Rattus norvegicus: one gene and its partners. The protein of the gene in region 1 purifies or fractionates together with the protein of each later gene. This does not show direct contact. Links are inferred from orthologs where the notes say so. Each region holds a gene or a part of one and is shown in the gene's direction. Other genes may lie near its edges. The genes, in order: Smad2, Smarcc2, Tgfbr1, Smarcc1, Usp15 and Skil.

Region 1 (4,115 bases):
CTGCATTTGAAACTATGACTGGCTTGCATCTGGGGCGAGCTACATCTTTCCCATGAGAAGAGTGGTGGAGATTTTGAAAGCCTATCTAAAAACCTGTTAAGTCTGGAGGGAAGGGCAAACAACTCAAGGACCACATAAAGGCCCCTGCTCTGGATGCCCTCACATCTGAGGAGAGAGCATGCTCCACTCCTAACTGCTTCGCACACTGTGTTGTTACTCCTGCACTCCTCTGTCGTGCTCATGAGGCTTGCTGGACTAACTTGCCTCTCCCAGGAATCCTATGAAGAGGTAGCTAAGTATAGATGGGCATGACCAACAGCCAAGCAAACTGCGTTCTGGTATTTTCTTTACCACTAGCAACCTGAAAGAGGCATTTCAAATTTAGGTTTATTATCCTAACACAGTCTTTCATCTGCCAGGGTTGAGTCAAAATCAAACTGCGGGTAGTCCTAAATTTGGGAACTTGGTGAGAAGTACGGGTCTAGGAACAGGGGCACAGTTAGGGACATGAGCTAGGGAGAAGCCAGCAAATCAAGGAGCACTCATAGTTGCTCATGCTTCACAATGAGCATTCGAACCAGCTATCACTAATAGTTCTACTTCAGAAGAACCTACGGCTCGGGTTGGAGAAACACACCCAAGGAGGGGCCCAGCCCTAACACCAACCCCACGGACAAGAACCCTAGCTCCGCAGTTTTCGCCACCCGCCCCCAGGGCGCGGCCCCGCCCACTTATTTGCATAGGGCGCGCCCCTCAGCGGCCAGCACCCTGGCTTCTCCAGAGCTTTGCCAGTCCAGCGACTCAGACCCGGCTGGGGGCGGGCCCAGGCCCGAGCACGTGTCCATTCCGGCCTCACGACGGAGGTGGGCGAGGGCTTAGCCGCGGCGCTCCACCCAGAGGCGCCAGGGCGGGGGTCTGCGGGCGTGGCACGCTGCGCGGCCTTCCGCGATCCTCCCGGAGCCCGGTGGGAGCGCGCCGGACACGAACTCAAGCGCAACCGCGGGCGTGCCACCCAACCCGGCCTCGCCTCGCCTCACGCTCGACGGGGAAGGCGGAACCAATCAGCGAGCGACGTTTCCCTTCCGATTCCAGGCCCCCGACGCGGTGCTCACACCCCGGGCTCCCCGTTCGCTGATTGGTTGCGCGTGCCGCCGGTCGGGCCGGAGGCGGGAGGCGGCGGCCCGCGCCTGCCCGCGCCCCGCTCGGCCCCCGGCCCTGCCCGCGGCGCCCGGCCTCCTTCCGTCCCTGCCGTGCTCCCTCCGTCTTCCGTGCGCGCCCGCTCGGCCGGCGTGCCTCACGCCTAACGGGCGGCCGCGGGCGCCAATCAGCGGGCGGCAGGGTGCCAGCCCGGGGCTGCGCCGGCGAATCGGCGGGGCCCGCGGCTCGGGGAGGGAGGCGGGGCTACCGCGCGCGGCGGTGGAGGAGCAGCTCGCTCGCCTGCAGCTCGCGAGCGCTGAGCGAGCCGCCCGAAGGTAGGTGCGCGGCGGCCGGGGCGGAGGGCGGCGGCGGCGCGGGGTGCAGGCAGTGCCGGGCCGCGGGGCCGCGCCGAGTGGAGCAGGCGGCTCCCTCCCCAGCCGGCCGCGGTGAGCGCGGGCCTGGGGGCGGGGCGGGGGCCCGCGGCGCAGTTCCGCCTGCGCGCGCCCACTCCTCCGGCAGCGCGGAGCCCGTCGGAAGAGGAAGGAACAAAAGGTCCGGGGCCCGGCTCGGACGGGCCGGGACCAGGCGCTGGGTGCAGGTAAAGCCGGGGCGCCCGGGGGACCGGGCAGGGGTGTGCGGGGCCGGGTCACGTGGCTGCCCGTGTGGGGTGTGGCGGGCCGTGGCGCGCGGGCCGGGGTCGGCGCCGTGGGCAGGGCCCCGAGCCCCCGCCCCGCCCAGCCTGGCTGCGGCCCGCTTCTGTCCCGGCTCGCGGCCGCTCTCGCTTTGCGTTGCAGAATGGCTCCGGAGCCGAGTTAGGGGCGTGTGGTACTTTGCTTCTACTTTTTCCTTTTTTTTTTTTTTTTCTTCTTTCCTGTGGCCTTTGTTAACCGTAACAGTCGTGGGTTCCGAATCATAGTGTGCACTCAGAAACACGCTCGTGGCTGAGGCTGCCGGGCTCATCCTCCACGCACTTGGGAAAGTTGCTCCGTGGGTACTGCCTATTAGTTTCTAATCACACGCCTTTAGGAAGCATGCTAATTGAGTGCACTTATTTCAGACTTGGTTTTCACAGTCGGTGCTTGGATTATTTTCTTCTAGGAATACTGTCCTTGGGCCCCAGGTACTTTTGTCCTCTTACCCTTGCAGGTTAGGGTTTCCTTGTGAATCTAAACAAAAGAAAAATAAAAATCGAGGTTGGTTTTGTTATTCATTTCTTTTACACTTAAAGGCAAACGCTACCTGTTTGTTGTCACACCAATTTAAAAACAAAACAAAACATGTGAAATAGTTCAGCAGCATTCCACCTTATTGTTATGCCTTGTTGGGGAATTCTAAACGGCGGTGTTCTTAACTAATGAAATGACATATGTAAATAAATGTAACCTGAAGGTTATCTTTACAAAAATGGCACCCTGGAATGTCAGTTTCCAAAATCTCTTATTTCTAATTCCATGACTTAACCCCATACCGCTAATAGAAAGGATTTTTCTCTTGAGCCTAACACAAATACATTTGCTGCCATGCTGGGAATATCTTTCCTATTAGTTTACTTTGGTTCCTGTAAAAAGCAATTTCCCCCTTTACAAAGAAGTGTTAAGTAGTTAAAACGAAGTTGGAATAGTTTCAATCCATGAGTTAGTGAAGCAGATGGAATCCAGACATGAGAGAAGCAAAATGTATTATAGTTTTAAGGTTTTTATCCCTCTCCCATTTAGTCATAAAGAGATTTTTTTCTAATTCATTAGGTCATTTAGCAAATGTTTATGTTGAATTCATAAAGTAACATCGATGTTATTTTTAAAAATTATTTTGGCATAAACTTACCTGTGGAGGTAAGAGAATTTGTTGTGGTCTTAGGACATTTTTAAACTGAGTGCCCAGGTACATGCTTAATGTTACAAAATAGTTGACTTACCTACGTTTAGGGTCCTCCCTGGCCAGGCTTAATCACTGGACTAGGATTATAAACCTCCTTGTGTTCCTTAGCAAGACACTACTCTAATACTGTTGGTTGCAATTTTGTAGGTACACCTGAAGTGATTTCATATTGAGAGTGTTCTGCAAAATTTGGTCTTTGGGGTTCTGAGGTACTTGTCAGTAAATAGCTATGCACCCTGTGTGGCTCATAAAGTCAGTGTTGGGAGAAACTGCAGAGTAACTTCCCGTTGGGCTTGGTTGTGTGGTTTAACTCATATTAGGACTGTTGGGGATGGTTTTCTGTATAGCCCTTTCCTTTGTGTATACATATAGGATGATGCTGCAGTAGTCAGTACTATCATTAGGGAGGCTGAGTGAACACACAGGCAAACGTAAGTAGTTTAGCTGCATGAACTGGTGCTTAAGGACCTTTTGGGTTTTTAGATTTGACTTGTGGGCCTAACCGTTTCCCTTCGTGCTTGGTTTGGATGCTGTTGGCTGAATACTTTGGACTCCAGAAACCACGTTTGCAGCAGCCTTTTTATCCAGGTGCTTTTGTAATGCATGCAGGAGCTGTATATAGTGTAGTCTGGCAGATGGAGGTTTATTCATATTCTTGGGACAAGAATCCTTTTTAGAGGGTGGAGAGAGGCATATCTTTTTAGATGCTTTGTCTGGGTAAAAGCAGAAGAGACATTTTTAGGCCCTTGGTTTCTGTGAGTGCAAAGAAGTTTTCTACTAAGTATTGCAAAGGTGTATCAGAAACTGACTATAAAGAATTCAGTATCACTTTATTGGACAAGTAATACGTACTTACACAATAAACTTTCTGTGGCTAGTCACAACACTTCTCAGTGGAATTAGGAAAATAAAAATCCTGTGTCTTCTGGCCAAAGGCCCCAAAGTAAGGAGGTTAATTATGTCAGAGCATAAGCTGAGCTTGAGCACTCATAATTCATCCAGAGCCACTTCCTGAAGCTATTTGCATTGCTCTCTGTCAGGTGTAAAGGACGGCACTAGGAGGGACGGATGGGCTGTGTTAGCTCCTATGACACTAAGAA
Region 2 (3,875 bases), on another chromosome or scaffold:
GGTGGGATGCTAGTCATGCTTTCTGGCCGCTGCACCTCTAGGTCCTCCACCGGTGCTTGCCTCTCACTAGGTTCTCACAAACCTGAGTGACTGAGTGGATTTGAGAGATAGTAAGAGACCCGGCAGGTAAATTTGGGAAATAGACAGAACAGACAGACAATATTGATTCAGTTTCTTTGAGAGGGCTGAAGGGGTTGGGGATTTAGCTCAGTGGTAGAGTGCTTGCCTAGCAAGCGCAAGGCCCTGGGTTCGATCCTCAGCTCCGGAGGGGGGAAAAAAAAAAAAAGAGAGGACTGAAAAAGAAATACAGCATGGGGACCCTGCTCTTAGAAACATCAAATATACAACATGGAGATCCTTAAACTACCGGAAAATTCAGATTCGGAGATGTCCTAGTGGAGTAGCTTGCGATTGAGAACAGATTGCTGTTCTAGAGAACCTACGTCAGCCCTAGGGGTTTCTCATGGGCACCCGCACTCACATGCACATGCCCTTACACAGACAGACAGACAGACATATCCATCATTAAAATAACTTTTTCTTAAAGATTTGTTTATTTTTTGTATATTCACTGTATATTCACACTGTCGCTATCTTCAGACACACCAGAAGAGGGCATCAGATCCCATTACAGATGGTTGTGAGCCACCATGTGGTTGCTGGGAATTGAACTCAGGACCTCTGGAAGAGCAGTCAGTGCTCTTAACTGCTGAGCCATCTCTCCAGCACCCCAAAAATAACTTTTTAAAATAAGAGATTTAATCCCAGTACTCAGGAGGCAGAGGCAAGTGGCTCTCTGTGAGTTCAAGGCCAGCCTGGTCTGCAGAATGAGTTCCAGGACAACCAGGTCCACATAGAGAAACCCAGTTTTGAAAAACCAATAAACGTATAAAAATAAAATTAATTCTGGGAGAATCAGAATAAAGTCAAAATTCAGAGGCCAGCGAAGTGTCTCCCTAACAAATAATTAAGTTTGTAGCTGATTTTGAAGGAAGGAAAGAACTTGAATTGACAGGAGCTCGAGGCATTTTCAAATCAGAATAATAACAAGTTCAGAGTTTTGAAATGAAGTGAACCGGAACCACAGCGGATTACCTCTCCTGCAGCGCAGCGAGGAGCAATGTCAATGGTCTCCGTCCCTGGGAGGGCAGAGGAAGCACATGGTTGAGTCTTGGGGAAACACTAGCATGAGATTAGGCTCTTTCAAAAGAAGAAGTGGGTCAGGGAGTTTGCCCACGTCTTCTGGTACCCGGTAACAGTTCCCACTGGTACCGGCAGCTGGAATATCAGAGGCAGCAGCTCCTGGCCGACCGGCAAGCCTTCCACATGGAGCAGCTGAAGTATGCAGAGATGAGGGCGCGGCAGCAACACTTCCAGCAGATGCAGCAGCAGCCGCCGCCGCCGCCGCCGCCACCGCCGCCGCCAGCCCTGCCCCCAGGCTCCCAGCCCATCCCCCCCACCGGGGCCGCGGCACCCGCGACAGTCCACGGTCTAGCTGTAGCTCCAGCCAGTGTGGCCTCCGCTCCTCCTGGCGGTGGGGCCCCTCCAGGAACCTTGGGCCCTTCTGAACAGATCGGGCAGGCAGGGACAACTGCAGGGCCACAGCAGCCACAACAAGCTGGAGCCCCTCAGCCTGGGGCAGTCCCACCAGGGGTACCCCCCCCTGGACCCCATGGTGAGTGTGCGTTCCAGAGTACTTGTTTGCTGTAGAGATGGGCAGATGTTCTGGTCCCTCTGAAGGGACACCCACCTGATGACTCGGATGTAAAAGTTTCTTGCAGGTCCTACAGGTGGGCTCCATTGTACTATGTCCCCCAACTAGCAGGGATGTGTTCCAAACAGATACCTGGTGGAGTTTCATTCCAAGAATCTCCTGCTTATTCTAGTCTCAGTACAAGGGGGTGGCACCAGCGGTGGCTGTGCAGCGGGTGCTGAGCAAGGTTCCAGTCCCTCACCCTGTGTTCTCTTCATTTCTAGGCCCCTCACCGTTCCCCAACCAACAAACTCCTCCCTCAATGATGCCAGGGGCAGTGCCAGGCAGCGGGCACCCAGGCGTGGCGGGTAATGCTCCTTTGGGTTTGCCTTTCGGCTTGCCGCTTCCTCCCCCTGCTGCTCCATCCATCATCCCATTCGGTAGTCTAGCCGACTCCATTAGTATTAACCTTCCCCCTCCTAACCTGCATGGTCACCACCATCTCCCGTTTGCCCCGGGCACTATCCCCCCACCTAACCTGCCTGTGTCCATGGCGAACCCTCTACATCCTAACCTGCCGGCGACCACCACCATGCCATCTTCCTTGCCTCTCGGGCCGGGGCTCGGATCGGCCGCAGCCCAGAGCCCTGCCATTGTGGCTGCTGTTCAGGGCAGCCTCCTGCCCAGTGCCAGCCCACTGCCAGGTGAGAAGGGGCCGGGAGGGGAAGGGTGAGGGAGAGGGAGGGCTCTACACTGTGGGAGGGAGGCCAGGAAGGAAAGGGCTAGAGCACGGGAGGAAGAAAGGCCTCTTGGCAGTCCTCCGTTTCCCAACTTGGCAGCTGTCACCTCTGGGTTGACGGGGCCTTTCACTGGTGGGTCGTGGAGGAGCCCAGTGGCTCAGAGGACGACCTCAGCTGTAAACCTGGAGCCTGGCCACCGTCTGCATGGCGATGGCTGCCCTTTGCTTGTTTCCACCACATGCAGATGCTCCACTTAGAGTCCTTAGGGAGAGGAGGATGGTCTGGGGAATAAGGAGTTCCCAGTGTCAGGTAGAGAAGAGTGTTAGGAAGAAGAAATTATACATAGTGGGTACCTCATTCATCCACCCACCCCTGCATGCCATGCCTGGGTCTGTGTGTGTGTGTGTGTGTGTGTGTGTGTGTGTGTGTGTGTGTGTGTGTAGCCTGGGACTGCAGCCATCCCTCTGCAGGCTCCAGCTCACTTACCTTCCTTTTCTCCACAGACCCAGGCACCCCGCTGCCTCCAGACCCCACAGCTCCGAGCCCAGGCACAGTCACCCCTGTGCCACCCCCACAGTGAGGAACCAGCCAGCTATCTCCCCTCACTCCCCATGGAGATCACAGTCCAGGAACCACCCTCCCCCACAACTGGGACCCTCCCTCAGCCTGGAGAGTTCATCACTACGTAAGGAAAGCTCCTGCCCCTTCACCACCCCACATGCCCAGCAGAGGTGTGCAGTTTTATATCCAATATTATCCACGGACTTCTAAGATGTTTCTAATGCCTGGGAGAGAGGATAGGAGGGAAGGATGTTTATTCAAGGTTCTATTACTGGTTCTGAGGGTGTACCTTCAGAATTACTGCAGTTTTGAAGTGATAACATGAAAATGAAACCCTTTAAAAGGGAGGTTTTAAAAAGACACATCTGAGACCACAAAAAAGAACTTTTTATTTTTATTTTTGAGGGGAAAGGGAACGTTTTAAGAGGAATTAAGTTTTGGGGCAGGCTGTGGAGATGGAACAGGGCACCAAGCCTGTCTGAGCCCCTTGGCAGTGCTGAGTCAGCCCCTCACCCATTCCACTTTATCAAACTAATCCCTCCTGCTGCTTGTCATTGTGGCTGTTAGGCCCAGCTCAGCCAATGACCTTCCCCTCTGAGTGTCAGCCTCGTGTTGTTTTTAAGTCACCTGCTCACTGTCAGCGTCTGTGTACTTGTGGGAAATGTAGTTTGCAGGGATTCTGTGGTAGGTAATAGAGGAAGAAGGGGCCTCAGGTGGGCTCTTCTTCCTGCTTTCCTGGTTGTATCTTGAGTGCCCAACAGGCATCAAACAAAGGTGGAGCTCTAAGAGGATGGGGAGTCTGCAACCCTTGAGTTTTGAAAAGCACTTAAGCACCTACTTTTGACAGTGGGACAGTCTGCTAACTTCTGCCCTCAGCAAGC
Region 3 (4,027 bases), on another chromosome or scaffold:
TCAGACCCCAGCTCTAACCCCCACGGTTTGCTTTCATAAGCAGGATCAAACTCTTGGAGAGTGGCTGTAAAACAATTTACTAACAGATACTAGAGGCCGGCTGGTTCCTACTACCGAGCTTCATTTAATTCCGAGTTCAAATCATACAGAAAATAAAATTTTCTCCTTAAAAGGTTCTGCGGAAAAATGCTGTCGGTGCCATGCGGCCGCCTCCGTGACTGTGTTTGTGTCTGAAGAAAGGACTAGTCTGACAGGAAGAATTACAAATCTGGAGCTCATTTTGGCATCCCAGAGGGAAGGTGGGTGGAGCGTCTCACAGTAAATTAGGAATTCAGAATGAAAGCGGAGCTGAGTTTATTTGGGTTTTTAGTGACACCTCGAAATTATTACACAGGCGTGTCGGAGACAGCTCTAAGTACCTATGACTGCTCCCGCTTCGCCCCGAATCCCCCATCATTCAAAACCCGTAGGCCTCTCCGCTTCCACGCGGGGTCAGGAAGGTGGGAGGGAAGGAGAGCGGCGGGGACCCACAGTCTGTTTATACTGCCGAGAGACACAGGCCACTCAGGGGTGTGTCTGAGCTCCGCCTCGGGATTCAGAATCTGGGCTCCGACTTTGGGACTGGAATTTGAGGAGGGCAAGACTAGGTCTGGGGCGGCCATAGAGTGCGGGAAGAAATCGGGTTATCTTTGCGGGGAGGCTGGGAATTGAGGAGCGGGTCTAGGGAGAAGAAGTTGAACCGCGGACCGTATTGAGGGTCGGAGTGGCGATAGTTGAGCTTTGCCGGTGCAGGACTGTGCAGGGAAAGTCAGGGTGGGGTTGGAGTAGAAGAAAAGAGCGAGCAACGTCCACAGTCTTTCCCTGAGCAACTCTTACGGGCACACCCAGCGCTTAGTCCGGACTGCGGGCTCCCTCGGGCGCGCAGGCTGGACCCTGCCCCCACCCGCCGGTAGAGTACGAGCTACCCTGCTGTGGCTGGAGTATAGGCGCCCAGCGGTGAGGGGGCGTGGCCAGAGGCCCAGCAGTGCGGAGGCGTGGTTAGAGGCAGAAGTCCAGGGCCGCTCATTGGCCGCCCAGGGGCCCCGAGGGCGGGGCTCTCCGCTGGGTCCCTCTAGGGCGCTCGCGGGCGGCGGGGGAGGCGGGGTCGGCGGGAGCTGGGCAGCCAATGGGCGTGCGCCCCTCGAGCAGTTACAAAGGGCCGGAGCGAGGCCGCAGCGGCGGCGGGGAGGTGGGGCGAGGAGAGGCGAGGCTTGTTGAGGAGAAGCTGAGGCCGGGGCCGGGCCGGGCCACAAACAGTGGCAGCGGGACCATGGAGGCGGCGTCGGCTGCTTTGCGTCGCTGCCTGCTTCTCATCGTGTTGGTGGCGGCGGCGACGCTGCTCCCGGGGGCGAAGGGTGAGTGGCGGGCGGGTGGCTGTGGGGCGCGCGAGCCGGGCCCGGCCTCTGGCTCGCTTCAGCTCTTTCTCAAACATGGCGCGGGGCCGGGGGCGCAGGTGGCGGCGCCGGGCCGGCCGAGCTTTCCTGACCCGGCAGGCGCCACGCGAGCCGGGGCGGGGAGGAGAGGCGGGGCGGGGGCGGTGTCGAGCGCGGGTGGCCGAACACCGAGCGGAGGCCTGCCCTCTTGGGCTCCCGGGAGCAGCGGCTGGCGAGCCTGCTGAGGTCTGTGGCTGCCCTCGGGGGTGTGAGGCCGGCGGGGACCGTGGCCCCCTGATTCCACTGCCTAAGTGCTCTCCGGCCTGAGACTGTTAGGGCGTGGGCGGGCACCGGCGTGGAGGCGCTCCGGGGCTCGGCGCGTGGAGGGCTCCTCGGAGGGTCGTAAGGGGCGCCGTGGGCAGAGATCCCGGGTGGGCCGCACTGCTGTGAGTGTCGGCGCCCGCCTAGGGCGACTTTTCTTCAACCGGGGGCTTTGTGTGAGAAGCAGGCGCGAAGATGCGCGGAATGTTCTCTCTTCGTGCGTCTGGGAAGAGTTGAGAGTTCAGTAACCAGAAGATTGCCTTGCTAGTAGAAACTTGAACGTTTGCTCACTCTGCAGACTTGGGATCGTTTGAATGGGAATGATTCTGTAGAATTGATCAAAGATTTCTTTTTCTCGACGGGATCGTTGCTTTGGGTGTATCGTTTCCTTAAGCAGTAGTCTTAAAATCAGACCTCTATGTAGCTGGCTTTTGAAGGGAAAATGTGTAGTTTTCCAAAATATTAAAACCGGCCGTGATACGGTTGTCACCCCGTGGAGGGAAGATTGAAAAACTTAGTCCGGAACCGATTAAAATAGGAGAAAGCAAAATACTGAGGCTCAGATTAGCAACTAAAATACAGTGAAAATACATGTCTGTTGCTGAAATTGGATAACATTTTAAAAAGCAAAGCATACCAAAACAAAAATCTCTCCAGACTGTGGATGCCAGCTGTTATTAAACTTAATAGTAACTGTTTATTGGGAGTTGATTATAATGCAGATGTAAAAGGCACAGTATCTCGGGGCACAGAACCCTCGGGGCTACCAGTACTTGTCCTGTACATTGACTTGAAAACTGAGGTGCAGGAGATTACGTTCTTAGTAAGTGCAGAAATTAATTTGTACTTAGGCCTTTCTGGGCTCAAAATCAGTGCACCTGCTATACCGTAGCATAGCCCACTTAAAGAACAGTTGATATTTGACACTTAGAACTTAGCCATCAGTTTCTTAGTTTACTTGAACTTGAACAACCTAGTACTTGAACATTCCCTTCACAAAGGTCTTCATTAGAAGATACCATGGGTTTTTGACATTGGCTTAGGAAGGGAATAACGGTGGACAAAGTGGGGGAATTGTTATAATTATTCACCAACTATAAGTGGCCATATCTCTACAATTATTTGAATAAAGTAATTCTTTTCTACCTAAAACAAAGCAAGACACGTTCATGCATTTAGCAGTATTGACTTAGATGCTGAGAAGGTTGGTCCGTGTCCTGGAGGATTTTATTACTCAAAACCTAGACTAGTACTTCATAAACTTTCCCCGTTTGCCATCCTCTTTTCTCAAAAGATTGTACGTGACCTTGAGTACAAAATGTAGAAAGCAAGTATATAATTCAGATGTGCTGATAATAGATCATAAATGAAATTATTTTAAAACAATTCATTGGTACATACAATTTTACTATTTATTAAAGATTCAAGCACATTTTCATAGTAATGAGATGGGTGAGTTTATTTTTACTTAAAGAATTAAATCATCCAATGCCAACGACTCCATATAATTGTTTAGGGCCATTTCAGACATTGTTGAAAATTCTCTCTTAATCACAAGATGAAATTTATTTAATAATTTTTTATTTATATAAGTATGCTGTAGCTGTCTTCAGACACACCAGAAGAGGGCATCAGATCTTATTACAGATGGCTGTGAGCTACCATGTGGTTGCTGGGAATTGAACTCAGGACCTCTGGAAGGGCAGTCGATGCCCTTAACCACTGAGCCGTCTCTCCAGACCTCATTTAATAATTTTTAAAATGAAATTTAAGTCAGCAACTTAAACAGCAGTTTTTAAAATCAGACATTCTAACACAATACAGTCGATCTACAATCGATCACAAATATACCACTTTGATATACATGAAGGATGAAAGCCTTTTCTGTATGTATGTTTCTGGAAGAATAGAAAACTTTTTATTTAATAAAAAACATTAAAACTTATAAAAATAAATGTTAGCACTGCATAACACGACAGCAAGTGTGTTTAGAACCAAGGGTGTTGTGAAGTTGCATCATGTAACACAAGCATGCATTGCCAGAAACACTTCAGATTCATTACTCATTTGATTTTTAATTAATTTGGAGTGTTATACATTCAGAAGTCCTTGAGTATTGCCAGATTGTTGTATGACCCAGCACCTCTATAAGGAGTTAGGATTCAGTTTAAGAAGCTATGGCCTCTTGGTCCTGTGAAGGCTGGATGCCCCAGTGTTGTAGGGGAATGCCAGGGTGGGAAGGCAGGAGGGGAGCGGGTGGGTGGGGAGCACCCTCATAGAAGCAGGGGGAGGGA
Region 4 (3,500 bases), on another chromosome or scaffold:
CTGCACCTATGTCTCTGTGAGGGTGTTGACTCCTCTGGTACTGTAGTTACAGTTGTGCCGTGTGGTTGCTGGTAATTGACCGTTCCTTTGGAAGAACAGTGAGTGCTCTTAACCATGAGCCATCTCTCCAGCCTGGTTTGTCTTTTTTGTGTGGATATTTATGGGTGCTTTTCCTGTGTACTCCATACATGACTGGAGAGGTTGTAGGATATCCTGTTAGAGTTACAGACATTTCTGAACTGCCATTTGGGTGCTGGTAAGAGCATCTAGTTTTAATTGCTGAGCCATCTCTCTAGCATTTATGTTCTGCCTTGAAGAATGTACTTGTATTATTTTTATGATTCTTTGCAGTTGAGAATGAACTTTATACACCTAAAACGTGGTATAGAGCCATTACTTAGTAGGTACTAGAAACTAACGTAGCATAGCTTTCTCTTCAGCATTAGCTATACCAGGTTCTGAATCCATGTCTTTCTTTATCTTGCAGTATGTTCATGCGGATGCGCCTACCAATAAAACACTGGCTGGACTGGTGGTGCAGCTTCTGCAGTTCCAAGAAGATGCCTTTGGGAAGCATGTCACCAACCCAGCTTTCACCAAACTACCTGTAAGTGCATGCACTTGTTATGTAGGGATCTTGAGTTTCTGCTTTTAGGTGTCACTTAGAGTTGATTTCCCTTAGTATTGCCAGGCATCATGGGGGTGGGGAGAACAACTTGTACAGAGGTGTTCGTTGGTTTGTTTTTGGTTTGTTACAGAGCCCTAGGCTGTCCTGCAGCTGTCTGCATTAGAGGCCAGCTATGGACTCTCCTTTCACCTTCACTTCTCCAGCTGGGACTACGAGCTGTGCTGTCATCGTCAGCCTAGTGGTTGGATTCTTGTGGGCTATGCCATTTAACGTCTTACATTCTGCAACAATCCCGAAGATGTAGTATTTCTTTGTTATGGTTGCTCTCTGCTGTGTTGTCTATACTGATACTTGTCTGTTAGAGCTGTGTGCGTCCGTGCGTGTGGATACATGCCTGCCATAGCTGCCAACTCTCAGGAGTCGACTTTTCCACCATTTGGGTCACAGGGAACAAACTCAAGTCATCAGTCTTGGTAGCAAGCACCTTGACCTTCTCTAGCACATGAAGTATGTAAAGGAATTTGTACAGAAGAGAACAGTTAACAGGAAGAGTGTCCTCAGCAGTGCCATAGCCACAGTACTCTAGTGGACAGCCATAGCAAAGCTTGTACAGAATTGGAGGCCATTCTCCTGCTGGTTTTTGAGCCTAGGGCCTTGTGCATACTAGCTAAGTTCTCTAACAGGCTTATGTGACTGGTTAGGATTAAAGGTCTGTGATAATTTCTATACTTCCTTTTTGTTTTGTTTTGTTTTTTTAAAGATTTATTTATTTCATGTATGAGTACACTGTTGCTCTCTTCATACACATCAGAAAAGGGCATTAGATCCCATTACAGATGGCTGTGAGCCACCATATGGTTCCTGGGAATTGACCTTTGGAAGAACAGTCAGTGCTCTTAACCACTAAGCCATCTCTCCAGCACTTGATAACCTGCTTGATAACCCAGAGTTCCATACTTTTCCCTCCCCTCCTGCCCCTCCTGCCAAGTTCCACACTCTTAAAACATCCTTTTATGTTTGCCCTTGTGCTGGAGTGCTTGTATACCCTCCCACAAACAAGTAAATATAGTTTTGTGTTCTGTTTTGTTTTTCAAGACAGAATTTCTCAATGTAACCAGGATGGCCTCGAACTCACAGACATCCACCTGCCTCTGCCTCCCAAGTGCTGGAATTAAAGTCATACACCACCATTTCCAGCTAATAAATACAAATTTTATCAATTAAATTTTTTTCTTTCTTTTGGTTTTTTTGTGTTTTTTTTTTTGTTTTTTGTTTTTTTGTTTTTAAGACAAGAGTTTCCCTGTGTAGCCTTGGCTGCCCTTTAATGCACTCTGTTGACCAGGAGCTCAAAGATTCTGCCTCTCTCTCTGCCTCTTAAGTATTGAAATTAAAATTGTGTGTCACTGGGGCTGGAGGGATGGCTCAGTGGTTAAGAGCACTGACTGCTCTTCCAGAGGTCCTGAGTTCAAATCCCAGCAACCACATGGTGGCTCACAACCATCTGTAATGGGATCTGATGCCCTCTTTGGGTGTGTCCGAAGACAGTGACAGTGTACTTATACATGAAATAAATAAATCTTATTTTAAAAAAAATCGTGTTACCATACCTAGCTAATAAAAATTTTAAATGACTATACTTTTAATTTTTACTTATGTATATGTGTGTATATGTGTTTTATATGTGGCATGCACATGAAATAAATCTAGAATATATACAGCACCATATTATTATTCAGTGTAGTTTATCAAATGTCACATGATTTAGAGTAAAATATGTAAATATGTAAAGTACTTTTTGTTTCTGAGACATCTCTAGCTCTGGCTATTCTAGAATAAAGCTTTTTATTTGCTTTTGTTTTTTTTTAAAGTCTGGTGTAAAAATACATATCTTTAATCCCAGTACTTGGGAGGCTGAGGCAGTTGGTTCTCTGAATTTAGGGCCAGCATGGTGTATATAGTGAGTCCCAGGACAGCCAGGACTACACAGTGAGACCCTGTCTTAGAAACAAAACAAAGAAGGTGTTTATTTTCTAAAATATGATTCTCATTCTTTTGTCACTCCTAATTGTGAGCATGTAAGTGTCATCACTAAAAATGACATAGGGTGCGCTAGACATGGGGTTTTAACTCCTGGGAACTAAGCCATTATTTACTAAAAGGGTTGACTGATAAGAGGAGAATATTTTTAGTCATAAATGATATTTAAAAATAATTCGTGGCTGAGGGCCAGATGACCAGATGTGTTTATTTTCCTCTCAAACTTGAAATCAGCATTTTTCTCAAATGAAAGGTTTTTCTGGTTTGTGATTCTCTTAAAGGAAATTGCAGAGAGAGACAGTGAACAGAGTTGATTTTGCTTTTTGAGACACAGTTTTTGTTTTGTAGCCCTGGGTGTCTTGGAACTCACTCTACATCAGGTTGGCCTCAGATCTCTGCCTCTCTCTGCCTTCAGTGCTGGGATTGAAGGCATGTATCACCACTACGTCAGCCCTGCCCACTATTTATTTACTTTTAAAAACTTAAAATTTAAAAATTTTTAATTATTCTGTATCTGTCTGTCTTGAGTATAGGTTTGTGTGCTCGATTGCAGGGTTTGTAGAAGTCAGAGGAGAGCCTCAGAGCCCTAGAATTGGAGTTTTAGATGGTTGTGTATCGACACTTGGGTGTTGGCAACCTCAAAAGTAGTAAGTGCTGAGCCACTTCCAGCCTCGTAAATATGGTTTTATTTTATTTGTTCATTGTTATTTGAAATAGGATTTCTCACTCCCCAGCTGTAAATATAATTTTTTTAAAAGATTTATTATGTATAAGTACATTGTAGCTGTCTTCAGACACACCAGAAGAGCGCACCAGATCTCATTACAGAAGACTG
Region 5 (2,598 bases), on another chromosome or scaffold:
TAAGTGTGGCTCATATTTAAAACTATTGTTTATTGTTTCTTTTGAGAACTGTTCACTGGCCCATTTATTGGTTGACACTTTTGTTGTGGGGGTTGAATTTTTGTAGTTCTTTATTTAGATTTAAACCCTGTTTGAAATATATGTAGTAAAGATTTTCTCCCATTCTGTAAGCTGTCAGTTCATTCTGCTCATTAGTTTCCTTTGCTCTGCAGAACCCTTCATCTCCTGTAGTGTCCTATGTTCATTCTTGGTAGCCTGGGCAATCTTATAAAGTGATAAAGGAGCCATGAAGATGCTCAGTGGTTAAAAGCACTGGCTGCTTTTCCAGGGACCCTGGGAACTCTTCCCAGAAACCAAATGACAGCTCACAACCATCTAACTCCAGTTTCAAGGGATCCAGCGCCCTCTTCTGGCTTCTATAGAACCAGGTTTCTCATTGATGCTCAAACATACTTGCAGACCAAACACCTATACAAAGTAAAAACAAATTTAAATAAATTATAAAAGATACACCTTTTATTGGACACTAGCTCTCAGTCAGGACATGAAGCTTCAGCCTCAGTTGAATCCTTCATAGATAGGGGTGGGACAGGTGGTCATGCTCAGGTGCACCAGGCCCTCCGCGGTGACCCCTCTTTGGTGGTAATTGTATCGATCATAACCTCTATGCAAACCTCCAGCAGTGCCGTGACGGGGTAAAGTTCCACATCAGTACCCAGCTTCCAAGTCTAATCAACAAGCTACTTCTCCTCCAGTGGCTCAGGCCATGCCACCCTGCAGTCCTGGGTTAGCAAAGCCCAGTTGCCTGCAAGGGCTGCTGGGAAGGGAATGCATACCCTTGAAAATAGTCCTTTGAAATGAGTATTTTCAAGTTGGGAATGGTAGCACACACCTTTAGTCCCAGCACTCGGGAAGCAGAGACAGGCAGATCTCTGAATAGGAAGGCAGCCTAGCCTATAGACTGAGTTTTCCAGGACAGCCAGGGCTACACAGGAAAGCATGACTCAGAAAACCAAAAAGAAAAAGAGATGTCTTTCGCATATGTGAATTATACAGGAACAGGTTTCTGTATGACATTTCAGGGGTGTGAGTAGTGTCCTTCGGTAAGCTTTATTCTCTGGACTTGTCCCATCTACTCCTGCCCTTTTCTGTTCCTGATTGTCACTTTTGTACTTTCTTTTTTTTTTTTTTTTTTTTTTTTTTTTTAAAAAATCAGTGTTCTCCTAATAAATACTGGAGAAAAGTTCAACATGTTTAACCACCTGAGGAAATGTTATATAACAGGAAAAGTTGCACTAGAGGTCCAGCATAAGCTGAAACACTTGTTGTTAGATAGAAAGATACTCAACCTTCAAGTAAATAGAAAAACTATTGTGTTTTATATTATGGTAAGTATGTTAATTTATATTTTGACTATATATATTTCTTAGTCCAAATTATATAGAATTAACCTGTTTATTTTTAAATATAGAAATAATAATATTTAGCCAATTTTAGTTGCTTCCTTATGATCATGTGTAGTTTTACTATTTGTTTTTTTGTCACTAAAATTGGTTATTAGCTAAAACTTTGTGCCATATCAGCTATGATTTTTGTGTGTTGCCACCATTGACACACCTTACTTGTTCAACAGTCCAAAGCAGCATACGTGCTCTTCTACCAGAGACAGGACACTTTCAGTGGAACTGGCTTCTTCCCTCTCGACCGAGAAACTAAAGGTGCTTCAGCTGCCACAGGTGTCCCCCTGGAAAGTGACGAAGACAGCAATGATAATGACAATGATCTAGAAAATGAAAACTGTATGCACACTAATTAATGAAAGTCCAAGAAGCCATACGAGAGAGAGAGAAAGAGAGAGAGAGACTTTCCTGCCGGTGGTATCTGTGGAGACGGAGTTACCCACCGCATTAAACAGAGGTCTGAGAGGAGGCGTTTCAGATACCCGAATGTAAATCCTTTATCAGATTTTAACTTGTGCAGTACTTGAAGTGAAACACAATGAAAACTTTAACAGAAATTGTCTCTTAATACATTTACAGTCTTGTATTTACAAGCTAAATATATATAGGAAATCACAAATAAATCCCTTTTAAGTTTGCTGCTGTTTTGATCAATTATGTTTTCTTTAATTTTTGGATGTGACTTAATTGATGACAAATGTTAACTTTGTGGATGTTGGTCATTAATTTTGCTCTAATAATACTGCAAGGAAACTCTGGCTGAACTTGGTTCTTGGGTAATCTAGTCCTGTGCGCTAGGCTGGCTGTCTGCACCTCTCGGGTACTTAGCTGCTGTCAGTGTGGCCCAGACACTGCAGTGCCCTTGGTACACCAGATCTCCCAGTCTGTCTGTCCCTGGTAATCAGTGTGGGTCTGTTACCACAACCCGAGGAGCAGCCTTGAGGAAGTTCCCTTTTGTTGTATCATTAAAGTGCAGAACATTACGTTTATCTCGCTCACTGTGGGAACACGTTCTAGATTTCACATGCCATCAAAATCATTTTCAGCTACATGTAAGTATCTTTCACTGCAATTGGAATCTATAAATTTTTCAATTTTGTTTTGGTTTAAAATGCTTATCTTCAATTCACTGTTGGTT
Region 6 (4,004 bases), on another chromosome or scaffold:
ATCTTCCCCCACCTCTTACCGTCTCTGGAAAAAAAAAAAGAAAAAGAAAAAAGAAAAAAAAAAAAAAAAAAGGAAAAGCCCGAAAACCCCAACCAAAGTGCTTAGTGAATTAGAACCGGTCACTTTATGGAGGACGAGAGCAGCTGGGGCAGCAAGGTCTGCCCCGGCGGTGCTGAAACCTCCGCCTCCCGGGCGATGGCGGCCCGGGAGGCGACCGGGTGAGGCCACCCCAGCGCGGCCAGGCGGGGCTGATCGCCAGCAGCTGGCAGGGCGGCCGCGGCGGGAGGCCCCACGGGGGCGAGAGGCCCCGCGACGTCTGCGCGCCGGCGGGGGGGGGGAGAGCTGGGGGAGGGAGCGCGGGGGGAGCACGGGGGCAGGTGGCAGCGCTGAACGGGGAGGGTGGCAGCGCGGGGGCGTCTGCGCGGCGGGCTCAGCCCGGGGGTCGCGGCGGGGAGCCACCCGCAGGCTACCTCCGGGGCGGGGCCAGGCGGCCAGCTGCGGCCGCGGGGGTGGGGGGCTGTTGGCCGAGTCTGACCTCGGGCGCGGCCAGCTGCCGGGGTCGCGCACAGTGCAGCCCGCCGCGCCCTACCCCCTCTCCGCCTTCTCACCCCCGCCTTGCCGCGCGGCGGCCCAGCGGCCAGGGCGCCCCCAGGTCTGGCCCGTCACCACACGGCGGCGGGCGTGGCGGGGGCGGCCCCAGACAGCCGGCTGGGCGACTCGAGGAAGGAAGGAGGGCGGCGGGGGTGGGGCCGAGGGAACATCCTGTCTGCGCCGGGCACCGCAGACAGTGCCGTGCGCCAGCCGCCCAGACGGCGCGCCGGGCCAGCCAGCAGCGCGGGGCACGCGCGGGAGGGGGCGGGGGAGCGGGAGACCGGCGCACGCGCGTGCGCGGCGGAGGCACCAGGCGCGCGCCCCGGCCAGGGCCGGAGAGGCGCGCGCAGCCTGAAGCGCGCAGACCGCGAGGAGCCACAATAGGGCAGACGGCGCGCGCGCTCGAGGGACTGGCTGGCGCGGGGCCGCGCGGCGCCGCTGGCTTAGTTCCCTCCCCTCCCCCGCCCGCCGCCCTCGCTGTCCCCCGGGCGGCCGGAGACGGCGGCGGCGTCTGCGGGAAGCCGTGTCTCCGCAGTGACGTGGGCGGGCCGCGGGCCGGGTGACGTCAGAGGCTGTGTGTAGCGATGTGTGTGGGGTTCGGAGCGGCGCCGGCACAGCGAAGGCGGCGGGCGAGCGACGGCGACGGCGACGGCGGGCACAGGTGCGGCCGCAGGTCGCGAGGGGACGTGAGGGGCGTGCGGCCTCTGGGGGCGCTGAGGCGGCGGCGGGGGGGTTATGGGGAGGCCACAGAGCCCGTGGGGCTGTCCGGGCGCCGAGGGCCTGAGTGGGGCGTCCGGGATGCGTGGGGTCCCGGGCGGGGTCGAGGGCACAGGGCGCGCGGCGGGGGTCCCACGGGTGTACAGGCCTCGCAGATTCTAGGACGGGTCGGCTGGGAGGGGATGGCGGTGCACTTGACCCGAGCCGCCGGGACCCGGGAGACCTGGACACCGGTCATCGCCGCCATCCCCCGGCCGTCTGCGCTCGGCGGGGATGCCTCGGGCTGGCCCCATCTCTGAGCGTCCAGCGACGCAGGCTTCCGGGCTTGGCGCCCAACCTGCCTGCGCCCCTCTGGGTGTTACGGCTCAGGGTGGGTCAGTGGTGGGGAGGCGCAGCCCTGGGGCGCAGAGGTAACCCCAGAGAACTTCCCGCGGACCGAGTGCGTGGGGGATTTCCACCGGCGGCCCCCGCAGTGGGGCGATGTGGGGAGGGCACTTAGGGTGATCCCGGTCACAGAGGTGGGGGTTGGGAGGACTCCTACTTCCTCTGCCCCCTCTCACCTCACCAGACGTCGGGAGTCCTCTGCTTCCCGGTCCTTCGGGTTGATGATGAGTGGGTGTCTCTGCGTGTGCGCAGGGCTGCGGGGGCGCCCCTGGTCTAGGTCATGCCTCCTGCCCTTTTCCTTGGCTCGCCTTGGCTGAGGTGTCCCTGTAGTGGCGAAAGTCACAGTACGGTGGCTAGGTGGCTTTCGTCCGTAATTCTCTGGGTTTGTGTTAACATAAATTGCTGGGAGTTTAGAAGCAAAGGTTTTTATTTATCGGCTTTTATTGGGTTTTCTCCAGGGAGGGAAGTGGATGAATACTCTTTTTCGCCACTCTGCCTCCATTTGCATTCTTTGTGAGGTCTGTCTGCCTTGTGCTTTTTGTCCCGGATTAGTCTTGCTAAAGGATGGAGATTTCCAGGCATGGAGTCTTACAGCTTTTGGCTTCCATTAAGCAAATTCGCTAACCTTTTAAAGGGAAAGTTTTTCTTCTTCTTCAATTTAAAAAGATAGTATATATTGACTAGATGAATTAATCTGCTTGAGACTTAATTACATATGGTAGGTATATTAACATGTATCTTTTGCGGGGTGGGGGGAGAGCAGAAACTACAGGGTTCTTTTTTCTGAAGAGAAAGGATTACTTTTTAAAATTTAAATGGCATGCATAGTTGAGAAAGCCTCTGCTACTGCGTTTTGGTTATCCGTATTCTAAATTTGTGTACTCTTCCTTGTTTGGAGAGATATTATTTAATGCTCCTGTTACCCACGGTCTGGACTGCTTCCTATTTAGATGAAGTTTCTTTTAGATAACTGGTGTTAGGTTGGAAGAAACCACCCAAGTGTTACCTTTGGCAAAGTGAACTGAGTTTAAGATTAAGAAACTGGTTTTAAACAGACCCTTTGGCCTCTGGAGCTAATTCAAATGTAACTCTCCCCACCCCTTTCTCTTCCAGATCAATTAAAAGAAGAATGAACTGTAATCCCTGAAGATAAACTGGGCAGCTTTTTTACTTAGTGTATGTATATTGCTAATTATAAAAGTTCAGGTGGAGCCAGGCTCCTGCTGTGTGGAGATTTAGACAAGTCTTCAGTTTGTCAGCACAGAGCCACAGACCACCATTTTCAGTGAGGATACCTGCCTCTTCTTTTTTGGTGTTCTTGGCAAAAACTAAAACCATTGCATCATTGTAACTCGTGTTTGGGTGTAGTTTCAGGATACAGTCATGGCATAAACTTTCCACATGCTTTGCTTAAAGAACAAAACCAACCAAACTCAACCACTATACCAAACTTTGGACTTCTTGAACTGAGGAATTAGCTTTATTTTAACATAAATAGCTGAAGTGCTCAAGAAAACAAGACTTTTCTCAGGGGTGTGCTGACAATTATACCCTTTGTTATTAGAAGCGAATTGAGAAGTTTTGTAGTATTTTCAGTTACATCCTGAGAAACGGCTGAACCGAAACAGAGTTGTACAATCTATTGAGCAAGAAAATTCATCTTTGGAAACTAAACATTTCTAAGTGAGTCACAAGTATTTGTATACGTTGCCTTTTTCTCTTCAAATTAGGAACTGAGAACAACATGCCAATTGAAGACTTAATTATTTAAAAACACCGGTGTGGCCATGGAAAACCTGCAGTCTAATTTCTCCTTAGTTCAGGGTTCAAATAAAAAGCTGAGCGGGATGGAGGATGATGGCAGTCCTCCCGTGAAAAAAATGATGACAGACATTCATGCCAATGGGAAAACGCTGACCCAGGTGAAGAAGGAGCATTTGGACGACTACGGAGATGCGTCAGTGGAACCAGATGGCGAGCACGCCAAGCGCAACTGTCCTTCTCTACCTGAAACTTTAAATTTAAACCCCAGTCTGAAACACACACTGGCACAATTCCATTTAAGTAGTCAGAGCTCTTTGGGTGGACCAGCAGCTTTTTCTGCTCGATATTCCCAAGAAAGCATGTCACCGACTGTGTTCCTGCCTCTTCCGTCTCCTCAGGTTCTTCCTGGTCCTCTTCTTATTCCTTCTGATAGCTCCACAGAGCTCACTCAGACTGTTTTGGAAGGGGAGTCTATTTCTTGTTTTCAAGTCGGAGGAGAAAAGAGACTGTGTTTGCCCCAAGTCTTAAATTCTGTTCTCCGAGAATTT

Evidence for each region.
Region 2: the proteins of Smad2 (region 1) and Smarcc2 purify together in Homo sapiens (affinity purification with mass spectrometry; 3 studies listed by BioGRID, with this or other methods). This does not show direct contact. The link is inferred for Rattus norvegicus from reciprocal best matches to the Homo sapiens genes SMAD2 and SMARCC2.
Region 3: the proteins of Smad2 (region 1) and Tgfbr1 purify together in Homo sapiens (affinity purification with western blotting; 8 studies listed by BioGRID and IntAct, with this or other methods). This does not show direct contact. The link is inferred for Rattus norvegicus from reciprocal best matches to the Homo sapiens genes SMAD2 and TGFBR1.
Region 4: the proteins of Smad2 (region 1) and Smarcc1 purify together in Homo sapiens (affinity purification with mass spectrometry; 3 studies listed by BioGRID, with this or other methods). This does not show direct contact. The link is inferred for Rattus norvegicus from reciprocal best matches to the Homo sapiens genes SMAD2 and SMARCC1.
Region 5: the proteins of Smad2 (region 1) and Usp15 purify together in Homo sapiens (affinity purification with western blotting; 4 studies listed by BioGRID). This does not show direct contact. The link is inferred for Rattus norvegicus from reciprocal best matches to the Homo sapiens genes SMAD2 and USP15.
Region 6: the proteins of Smad2 (region 1) and Skil purify together in Homo sapiens (affinity purification with western blotting; 8 studies listed by BioGRID and IntAct, with this or other methods). This does not show direct contact. The link is inferred for Rattus norvegicus from reciprocal best matches to the Homo sapiens genes SMAD2 and SKIL.

What each region holds. Positions count from the first base shown.
Region 1 is NC_086036.1:72,124,029-72,128,143, forward strand, and holds the start of Smad2 (mothers against decapentaplegic homolog 2), read left to right. Parts: upstream 1-1,315; 5' UTR 1,316-1,472; intron 1,473-1,550; exon of another isoform or gene 1,551-1,735; intron 1,736-4,115. UniProt on the Homo sapiens protein: Receptor-regulated SMAD (R-SMAD) that is an intracellular signal transducer and transcriptional modulator activated by TGF-beta (transforming growth factor) and activin type 1 receptor kinases.
Region 2 is NC_086025.1:1,490,503-1,494,377, forward strand, and holds the end of Smarcc2 (SWI/SNF related, matrix associated, actin dependent regulator of chromatin, subfamily c, member 2), read left to right. Parts: intron 1-1,278; coding exon 1,279-1,675; intron 1,676-1,977; coding exon 1,978-2,397; intron 2,398-2,936; coding exon 2,937-3,013; 3' UTR 3,014-3,375; downstream 3,376-3,875. UniProt on the Homo sapiens protein: Involved in transcriptional activation and repression of select genes by chromatin remodeling (alteration of DNA-nucleosome topology).
Region 3 is NC_086023.1:66,448,171-66,452,197, forward strand, and holds the start of Tgfbr1 (TGF-beta receptor type-1 precursor), read left to right. Parts: upstream 1-1,227; 5' UTR 1,228-1,309; coding exon 1,310-1,394; intron 1,395-4,027. UniProt on the Homo sapiens protein: Transmembrane serine/threonine kinase forming with the TGF-beta type II serine/threonine kinase receptor, TGFBR2, the non-promiscuous receptor for the TGF-beta cytokines TGFB1, TGFB2 and TGFB3.
Region 4 is NC_086026.1:118,992,556-118,996,055, forward strand, and holds part of Smarcc1 (SWI/SNF complex subunit SMARCC1), read left to right. Parts: intron 1-487; coding exon 488-607; intron 608-3,500. UniProt on the Homo sapiens protein: Involved in transcriptional activation and repression of select genes by chromatin remodeling (alteration of DNA-nucleosome topology).
Region 5 is NC_086025.1:60,643,111-60,645,708, reverse strand, and holds the end of Usp15 (ubiquitin carboxyl-terminal hydrolase 15), read left to right. Parts: intron 1-1,633; coding exon 1,634-1,816; 3' UTR 1,817-2,098; downstream 2,099-2,598. UniProt on the Homo sapiens protein: Hydrolase that removes conjugated ubiquitin from target proteins and regulates various pathways such as the TGF-beta receptor signaling, NF-kappa-B and RNF41/NRDP1-PRKN pathways.
Region 6 is NC_086020.1:114,200,773-114,204,776, reverse strand, and holds the start of Skil (ski-like protein), read left to right. Parts: upstream 1-1,204; 5' UTR 1,205-1,252; intron 1,253-2,805; 5' UTR 2,806-3,479; coding exon 3,480-4,004. UniProt on the Homo sapiens protein: May have regulatory role in cell division or differentiation in response to extracellular signals.